Linked DNA regions of Drosophila melanogaster. Changing the gene in region 1 together with any one later gene gives a genetic interaction. Each region holds a gene or a part of one and is shown in the gene's direction. Other genes may lie near its edges.

Evidence for each region. Genes that interact genetically often act in the same process or in processes that back each other up.
Region 2: of Cyt-c-p (region 1) and peb, changing one suppresses a phenotype caused by changing the other (phenotypic suppression), as found in Drosophila melanogaster (one study listed by BioGRID).

Annotation. Positions count from the first base shown.
Region 1 is NT_033779.5:16,717,684-16,723,207, forward strand, and holds Cyt-c-p (cytochrome c proximal), read left to right. Parts: upstream 1-2,248; 5' UTR 2,249-2,293; intron 2,294-4,325; 5' UTR 4,326-4,366; coding exon 4,367-4,693; 3' UTR 4,694-4,961; downstream 4,962-5,524. Other genes in the region: Cyt-c-d (cytochrome c distal), read left to right, coding at 1,452-1,769. UniProt on the Drosophila melanogaster protein: Electron carrier protein. The oxidized form of the cytochrome c heme group can accept an electron from the heme group of the cytochrome c1 subunit of cytochrome reductase.
Region 2 is NC_004354.4:4,615,768-4,620,824, forward strand, and holds the start of peb (pebbled), read left to right. Parts: upstream 1-1,796; 5' UTR 1,797-2,296; intron 2,297-4,202; exon of another isoform or gene 4,203-4,207; 5' UTR 4,208-4,226; coding exon 4,227-5,057.

The DNA of each region.
Region 1 (5,524 bases):
GAGCTACATAAAACATTTTTCCCTTCCTCATTACATTTGAGCAGATGCCGCAATATGCTTTTTATTTTTGCATAACAATTTCCGCACCTTACAGGCAATTCAATATCTGCACCTCCTTTAGCACGCAGACTCCTTTGTGCCTTTGCACTCTTTTTGAACTCTATTTGTCCTGGACCATCCTCTCACCTTTTTATGGACTTCCGCAGCAATAGATCTAGTAAACAATATAGCCTCCCCACAACCTTTCCGCAGGCTATCTCTTTCCTACTACTACCCCATGTTCGGCCGAGCCCGTTCAAGCGTAATTTAATTTCTTGCACCATTTATTTATAGTGGTCCGGCAAAAGAACTCGGGCCAACAGGCAGGATAGTTTAGCCTGCGGGTAAATTATGGTTCCATTGCCAATTAGGTTAGGTCACAACCAGGATGTCCCATTGGGGATATATGTATGTATGTATGTAGATGGATGCACAGGGAGTACACCTAATACCAGTGCAGGGCTGCCAGGAAAATGTCATTGTTTGGATTTAGAATGTGACATTTACATACGTACGTAATATAAATATATAAATAATATCATTCTCTGAAAAATATCATAATGCACTCTTGTAAATTTAAAACAAATTTAATTTTAAGATAATTGGTTGAGATAAACATAGTTAATATTTTCAATTGATCCTTTAAATTTTAAATTGCAGGTGAATATCATCCCTGTGTGACCGTTGTATGCGGCATGGTTCCATGTCTCTTTCCCGTTATTCATTTCCCTCTGCTTTGTTTTTTTTTTTTTTGGTTTTGTTATGCGGTGGCATCTGTTTTTGCCACAGGAAAATGGTTGAGAGAGGGGAAGGCAGGGGGCGAAAGCGGAGAGTGCGTAAAATGCGTTTTAATTGAAAGGAAATGTTCAAAGCACATGTGCATCTGCTAGTCAACGAATTGGTTGGGAAAGGGGGTGGCAAGCCGAATGTGTCTGCTAATTGAATTACCTTTCGGTTGCTTTTCCCATTAGAAGTGCCGACAAGTTCTCGAGCTGCTTGTTTGCTTTTCATTTAATACCCATTTTGATTTAATTTTCGTTTTTCCTATTTTTCTGACCCAATTTTGTTTTGCTTTCGTGCATTAGCAGCTGTCTCTGTCTATCGCTGTGCAGCCAAGAGAGTGACCAAGAGAAACGCTCTCTCTCTCTCTCTCAGTTGTCCAGGACTTGCACTTTTCAAACGGTTTTTTAGGACACTGAAACAAATTGAATCTGTTTTTCTTTTCTATCAAATTTTTAGTTCTACACTTTTCTTTTTCATGATAGTTTCGGAATCAACCAATTTCTATTTGATCCAAATTAACAAAAAACAAATAACAAAAAATTAAAAAATATAGAAATAAAAGCTGCATAAAAAGTTGAATTCTAAATCATAAATATCATTTTTCCCTATTTGTCTTTCAGGCTTCCAAGATGGGTTCTGGTGATGCAGAGAACGGCAAGAAGATATTTGTGCAGAAGTGCGCCCAGTGCCACACCTACGAAGTGGGCGGCAAACACAAGGTGGGCCCAAATCTTGGCGGGGTCGTGGGTCGCAAGTGTGGCACAGCAGCGGGATACAAGTATACCGATGCCAATATAAAGAAGGGCGTTACCTGGACAGAGGGGAATTTGGACGAGTACCTCAAGGACCCGAAGAAATACATTCCCGGAACAAAGATGGTGTTCGCAGGTCTTAAAAAGGCTGAGGAGCGGGCCGATTTGATTGCCTTCCTCAAGTCAAACAAGTAGAATCGCCTGCGAAACAACAAGATCGGCCACCATGCTATCCAGAAAACTGCGCTTAAAGACTACAAACATATTCAAAAGATGACGTATTTCACTTGGATTTCGAAACTTTGATTGGGAATGGTCGAGCTCAAATACATTTCAAAAAGGTTTACTTTCACTTTAGCCAATTAAAGTTGATAAACCAAAAACCCTCTTCTTAATTCAAGTTGTGTGCGACGCGGGTGGAGGAAAGTGTTGTACCAATCAGCTTTGGTCACAGTTGGTTTTATGGTCCTACTAGCAAAATGTAATAAATTGGAGAAGCTTGTTAAATAATGCAAATTTTCCAGAGGCTTTCCAATATAGTCCCGTTAATAGGGGAAAAAATTACTTATACGCCGTGTGGTGGATAAATACGGGTACAAAAGCTTGCGACATTTTTTAATGCGTGGCCCCCGGTCACTCTGGTCACACTAATTACCTATCGACATAACGCGCGCTCGTCATTCGTGAAAAATCGGCGACGCTCGACGTTTGTGTTCAATGTAAGTAGTGGGTGGAATTTTTGTATTTTCAAGTGACGTAAATATTACCTTGAATAGTTATTGATTATCAAGCCCCAAGTCAGATAAAGATTAGAAACACTTCCGTGTCATTTACGTAACATCCAGCAGCTGTGTTTTGTTCTGAAAATGATTCGCATGCAAATTTAACGTATTCTTTGGGGGATGATTCAGGTTACATAAACGTGTCCTTGTGTGTGTGTGTATAAGTGTGATTTTTTATTAGATATTTAATAGTTTATTTAGCAAATATTAGCAGTGGTGTATTAATAGTAAAAATAGCATCCCAAAGTCACATTGCCATTGAAAAAAGCCCCGGAGAGAGTCGATTACATGAGCAAAGAGAGTGGCGTACCCGATCATCAGCTGTCTCGCTCGCTCAGTGGCAAAAATTAATTCTTGGATTTTTTGTCAATGCTTCAGCTTTGGAGTCTTTAAGCGCGCCACGTGGTTGCTAAGCAGGTTTTGCTTTCTGCGATGTGCAGTTTTCTATAATATAAATAAAAGAGAATTCACCTCTGCGAAAAGGCGGCTTATGTAACATTCGCTGCTCTCAGGAAACTTGGATGTTGGCCCAATTTTCACTCATCTCTTTGTTCTCACCACCTTGCTCACCCACACAAGGAAAAACACAGCTGCCTTTGGCCTGCTTCCAATTTTCCAATTGCACTTTCCCTTCATCTCACGCACACTCACGCACGGCAATTAACTGAAAAATACTCAACAAGGCCAAATCGGATGTTGACATTGTTGTTGCTTTGCCACCTCTCACTGCCAAAGTGCATGATACTCTACACAGAAAGAAGTGAAAAAAAGGTTGATATTAAATGCAAATTATGTGTAAAAGCGCACAAAATCAATAGTCTATATATATTAGGTTTGTTTTTATAGACAAATGCATATAAAATAAAATTAGTTTTCTAGAATTGAAAGAGCTTCAGCTAATCGAATTTCTCTCAGTCTATGTGCGTGATGTGTAGGTGAATTACTCACCGCAACGGTACTTTGCACTCTCAAGTTCAAATTGCTGCATGCAATTTATAATCCGGCAATTAGCAGGATGACCGTAACACAGACCCTGGAATAATAGAATAGTTATGTAAACAACTAACGTTTTTCGTATTATGATGCTTCCTGGAAGTTTTCCGCCTGTTGCTGAGCAGTTCTGACGCAATTAATCGGCGACTGGCAAATATAAGCGAGTGAGACACAAAGAGAGTGTGAGAAGGAGAGAAAGAGTGTGGGGGCAACATGTGACCAGCGTCTGAAGCTTTTTCAAAGTGTGTTTCTGATGACGTTGCGACGCCCTCCACGCGCGTATTAGTGAGAGCAAAGTATGTGGGTTAAAAAGGGGGTGGCCGCAAATGGAAATGCAGACTACGTTAGATAATAATTTCGGGCCTTATCAGAAACAACAGCCGACTAATGCACTTAGCATGAGCAATTTTAATAATTCCGTTTCCGCAGGGAGCTTATCAATTGTTTACATAACGGGGCAAGGGGACAAATATTAATTCACGGTCCATAACTACCTACATTAACCCATTATTTCCCAAGCATGGAAATTTTTGATGATATAAAGACGTTATTATTTTAATACCTTAAAAATATATAATATTATATAAGTAACGTTGGGAAATCAACTGGTTAATAAATTTTAAATTTCGGGTTTATTTATTCAATAATCTTTTGATAATGTATGGCTGAAAGTGAAGCTTTTATCAGTATCTACACAATGGTTCATTGGGGCTAATAATAAATGGTATCAAATATCGTATAACTATTTTTTGCAGTGAAACCAGAATTTCGGACTAAGTACATAAGCAAATGATATAAAATATATATTGTAATCAATTTATCAGAATAGAACAAATTAATTGGTAGCAGTTATGAACTTTGAACCATTTAGTAGCCAGTTTTTTAAGTTTTTCAAACCTAAGATGTAAGATAACAGATATATTGGTTACCCTTGTTTTATGAACCACTCATTAATAACAAACATTTCTTTTTACAGTCGAGTCCGTGTTAACACATTAATTAACCACATAATCCATAATGGGCGTTCCTGCTGGTGATGTTGAGAAGGGAAAGAAGCTGTTCGTGCAGCGCTGCGCCCAGTGCCACACCGTTGAGGCTGGTGGCAAGCACAAGGTTGGACCCAATCTGCATGGTCTGATCGGTCGCAAGACCGGACAGGCGGCCGGATTCGCGTACACGGACGCCAACAAGGCCAAGGGCATCACCTGGAACGAGGACACCCTGTTCGAGTACCTGGAGAACCCCAAGAAGTACATCCCCGGCACCAAGATGATCTTCGCCGGTCTGAAGAAGCCCAACGAGCGCGGCGATCTGATCGCCTACCTGAAGTCGGCGACCAAGTAATGGTGCTGTCCATCAACTTACCCACAACCACTGCAGGATGTCAAACTGTATTATTGTGTTCAGTCACAGTCCGGCACGCAAATGCAGCAGCAGCAACAACTACAACTACAAATCAACATAGTACAGACCTAAAGAACTACAATTATGTTAATTATAAAGTTTAAATAGGACAATTTATTATTTAATTTAAATAAAAAGTGGAATATTTAATTCAAACCCGATGAGAATTGTGACATCCACAAAAAAGTTAAATAATAAAAAAAGAACTAAAAAATGATATAAAATCTGTTTTATGCGAGGACCTGGTTTTTGTAGCTCGCAGGTCAAAAAGAATAAAAAAAGCTTCTTCAGATTTTTGACTCGGGCAACTCAAATTAAAAATAAGAGATACCAATCATATTTATAAAACAATTGTCCTGGCAATTTCTATCAATAGGTATCTGTTAGTCGTCAAACTCGACTGCAGCATACTCTTTGCGTCTGTCAAAAATGTTGTTGGCTGATCTATATAGGCCTTACTCATCTGAGTCGCACAAAGATGACCACAAATCATCCTGGGTTGCTGCAAATTCCTTAGTTCATTGCGTGGAGGTAGACATCACTAAAAACATCCAACAAAGAAAGAGTCGATACGTTACGCAGAAACATCACAATAAGATTGTATTACTGAGAGAGAAAGTAGAAAACTATTAGGGTCGAAATGCTCTCTTAATGCACATTCTATTTGGCCAATCGTTAAACAAGAATACACTGGTATTTTTATATTTTTTGGCTAATTTATGTATATTTTCTTTTACACTCCCAAAATTGTATCATACATTTTAATAACAA
Region 2 (5,057 bases), on another chromosome or scaffold:
CAACTCAAAAAGACAGTGACGCAAGCGACTAAGTTTTCCAATCGCTTTCGATGGAAATTTGCATTCTTTTCGACACTGAATTCCGAAAATAAGATAATTATATATTAATAATATTAAGATCTCTGAAAAATTTGTATGATTACAACATAATTTTGTCACTTTTGAGTGAGCTATAGTTTTTAATCGCTGAACCACTGTGCGAATTTTTCAAGTTCATTATAAACAAAACGTAAATATTATTAAATTGTGTACAAACAGCGCGTTGCACGTGTCGCTGTGCCTTCTAGTGTGTGTGTATGTGTGTGTGTGCGTAGGGGCGCGTGTTTGTGTCTGTGTGTGTGAGTGGGCGAGTGTATTGAACTCTTGCTGCATTTTTTGCACAATTTCGCCGCCTTTTTTTCTGCTTTTGCTTGCGTTGTATTATTGTGCTCATTTATTTTTATTTTTACCTCTGTTGTTACAATTGTTTTGCATTATTTTTCTTTGAGTGGAGAATCGATCGAATGCATCGATTTTTGGATGAGATGCTGAAGGGTTGCTGGTCACCTAATTTACATACATACATATGTACATTCTTTCGGCAGCTGACACTATTTAAAATTGACCTCTCGACGGTACCTAAACACCTATGAGTATCGAAGAGCATGGAAAAAGAGCCTTTATATTTGGAGAACGCTATCCCCAAAGAATCGCAGAACTACGGGCAGCTACATGACATTTCTTTCGGTGCATTAATGTTAATTTCAATGCTGCTTGATTGCTGTATGACGCACCCTGAAAAGGTGAAAGGTGAAAAGAGGGACCGAAAAGAGACTCGATCGTCTCCGACTTCCGTTCTGGGCACAGCTAGAGGTTAAGGTTGAGAAACTGGCCAGGAAGTATCCGCTCGGGGGTTAATGGATACGGATACACGGATGGGGATGTTCACAGCTATGGATGAGCACATATGTATGTACATACATACATACATACATACATACATACATATGTATGGGCATATGTACACGAAGATCTGGATGTGCTCATCGCTAGATGAAGTGCGACAGAAAGGGCAACAAACATGGCCAGCGTGGCCAATGGCAACGGGATTTGCCCAAAAATCCAAAATGCATCCAGACATATGCATATGTGTATGTGGGTGCTACATACAGTGATCACTCGTATAGAAGGCAGAAAAAGTTGACAATTGGAGATTTGGTAGTCTGGCACATTTCTATCCTACATCCGTTGATTTTGTTTCATTTTTTAACAAGATTTCAGACTCATTTCCCGAAGTATTTATTTTGCCGATATTAATACTTTTTTCTAGTTATTGAAAAAAATGGTGACTTTGGTTTAAAGTCCTAGGTCAAACTGAAGTATTCCATAAATATTAAAAGAAGGAAATACTACACAAATAATGCATCTTCGATTAGATATACTTCTTCTACGCTCAGATCTAGTATCGTGCATCCCATTTCCAGTTGTCAAGTGTCCACTGTAATTTCCAATTCCAATGAAAGATGAGTACGGCCCTCTCGCTCTTCCACACACACACACACGCACCCAATGTGTAATCCTATTTGCGCCAAATAAAGAAAAAGAAGAAGACAAATTTGAAACGAAGAATGAGAAGGAAAGAAAATCCAAGCTGCGCTGCCTCCGTTGAAAAAAAAATGAGAAAAACCAGACTGCTTCTCTCTTCTCTCTTTTCTCTTTTCATTTCAAATTTTACGCTCTCGCTCTCGCGGACAGCGACGCCGCCGGCGGCAGCGCAGCGCAGCCGTTGTATTTATAAATACAACTTTATAAATACAACATCAGTCGATTTTCATCTGCCGAATCGGTTGCGCTGCGGCTGCGCTGAGAATAAGATACAAAACTCGTGCGCGGCGCTTCAAGAAACCAACTCAAAAGCAGACAAATCAAATAACTAACTTGTAGAAAATAAAAATATAATAAAACATAAACAGAATTTCTCAATTCTAAGCCTACAAAGAAATATCAAACGCAAACTGCATATTTTTTTCACGTTTTTTTTTTAAACGACAAACCATTGGGAATTTTTGGAATACTAAGCTTTAAGGCCAAAGAAGTGTGAAAAATATTAAGTGAACCAAAAAATAAGTGCTATCTGAATTAAGTTATCTGACAAGAATTAAAAAAAAAACCTACACACTAAACATAAAACACAAAACACCAAAAAGCCACCAAAAATCATTTTTCAACGGGAACCAAGCCTAAAACAGTGCGAAATCCGGAGTTGGAATGCCGTCGCAACTGTTGAACACAATTTCACAACTAAATATCCACTAAGGTAATTTTTTAACAGTGATTGTTTTGGATTTTTTTTTATGTTGTTTCTGTGATTTGTGCGTGAACAATTTGTTGTTGCTTTGGATAAATAATCGAGCGCAGAAAACATGGATTATCAAAAGGATGAAATTGGAAAAGTTATTGGGTCTTCAGCTAAGCTAACATTTTTGTGTTAAATTGTTAAGAACAAAAATTGTTGAATTTAAAATTAGCACAACCGTTTTAAAATAAAATTTAAAAGCTTAGTTTTCAAACACATTTGAAATGCAATTTTTAAATGCAATTGAAGTGCAGCAGTGTTTTAAAATCGACTTAGATATTAGAAATATTATTTAAAAAAGATGAAGTAATGAAAATATATATGCCAGTTTAATTCTTCCGTAAATCGTTAAAATAATTTAATGATCCAAATTCATTATATTCCGATTAAATCAAAAGGAAAATGTTTATATAAAATTATTTTCCTACGATCACAATGTTTGAAAACATTTCAATTCAAGTCCATTCCCAAAACCCCTCCCTTGGTGTTTTGGGTCAAGTTCTGCCTGCAATTAGCCGGGTCAAAAAATTACCCATGACCGATGCTAAAACCCTTGAACTTTGACACACCACGCACACACAGACAGTCCAGTCCGAAAAGCCAGAAATTTCCGTGGTCAGGGATGATGAGGCGACGTTTATAGGGTTTAATTCAGATTGATGATCTGTTTAATATCGCAGGGGTTGTGCTCCATGTCAAACGGTTCACTTCACTCGGCTTGATTCCGTTAGATGGCGATTAGAAATTTGTTTTTTCACTGACCAAGTTGTGTTCATTGATAATTCCCAAGGGTCATAAAGGTGTGAAAACCGCCCAACAATTCCCCGCCCCAAAAAGTATATATTCGGGAGGGAATCTTTATCTCAATGACTTTTCATGACTCATGGACAACGAAATTGAAATCAGCCAACCAAAATGAAAGGCCAAACCGAAAGCCAATGGACAACAAACAACTAACACACATTTACCGAAAAAATTATATGTGTATATGACTGGATGTATGCATGTGTGTATGTATATATAGCGAACAGTGGGCTCGTTATCGGTAGAAATTTTTGATCAGCCTCTGAGGTTTCAGAGTTTCTTTATTTTTGTTGCCTTTCGGGGGGAAGTTAGGATTTTCAAATCGATCCACTACCACCCAAAGAAACAACAACAACGACAACAACTGGGACACCGCTCATAGTCATAGCCTTGATAACGGTAAATGCTAATGAGTGTACCCACATTTTTCACCCACACACCGAAATTCTTGATAAGAGCAGCATTGCCAGATGTGTATTGAATTCAATTCTTCGCACCTTTCTGCGGATGCACTTGCAACAGTCGCCAATTCTTCTTATTCGCTCTTCACAGGAACTCGATTTCAAATAGCTTTTCCGCTTCTGTTTTTTCATCTTTCCGTTGCATTGTTTACTTGCCTGAATCAGCTGTTTACGTTACTCAAGATTTAGTTTAGTATTACGCGACAATCGAAGACTGGAGAATGCAGGGTGCCCCACTATCGATTTTCTGTTATTAATTGAACCCTACACCCAGTTTACAGAATGGAACGCTGTCAGTGTGGATATCATTTGTTTACGCGTGATTTCTTTCCATCTTCAGACTTTCATAAAGCTAGTAATTACATTTTTGAATCAGCGAGTGTTGCAAAACTTTGGTGGGGTTGGACAAAAAGTAATAAAAATACTTGCGATTATAAGTGTTTAGTATATTTGATACACTTCTTTTGTCTTCGAGTTATCTAATTAGTGTCAACACTTGTTCAAGTGCTTCGATTTTTCGATAGAGTTCTTATTACACGTGCTTTATCTATACCCATCTCTAAAAGTCCTTTCTTCTTTTTCTCTCGAATCTTCTAAATCAGCACAGTTAACTAGCCGTTGGAAAAATGCTCGCCGCACAGCAACAGCACAACAACAGCACAGTGGAATCGGAAATGGAGCGCCAGCGACGGGACTCCACCACATCGGAGTCCTCGCTGGAGCATCTGGATCTGGGACGTACGCCCAAAAAACTGGGCGGTAACAGTGGCTCTACACAGACCACATCCACGCCACATGAGCTGGCTACGGTGACATCTTCGCGCAAGCGCAAAATTCGCCATTTGCAATTGAATCACCATCAGCAGCAGCAGCATCACCAGCAGTCGGATCTGCTGAGTGATGAAGACGTGGCGGAGGCGGAGGCGGAGGAGGATGAGGACGAGGAGGATGGCGACCAGGTGGCCGCCTTGGGCTCAAGGAATCTGGGACGGCACAAGCAGCGTCGCAGTGGTGGCGCCACCACACAGGCATCCATTGTGATGGACTACAGCAGTGGCGATGCCAGTTCGCTGCGCAAGAAATTTCGTCTGAATCGCTCGGCGGCCAGTCTCTCGGAATCGGGATTCGTGGACGCCAGCAGCACCACTGGCCACAGTGGCTATCTGGGTAACAGTAGCAGCGCTACGAACACTACTGCGACCAGTGGTATTGGTGCTAGCGCAGTGGCTCCATCTCCAGTCGGCGGAGCAGCGATCAACGCAGCATCCAGCAGCAGCGGCAGCAGCAGTGGCGGATCCGGTGGCTCCTCGCCCCAGGGACAGTGCCTCTCCAGCGGTGAATCAGGCATCGGAGCCGGCGACGAGCATATGAAATACCTTTGCCCAATCTGTGAGGTGGTCTCAGCCACGCCGCACGAGTTCACCAACCACATCCGGTGCCACAATTACGCCAATGGC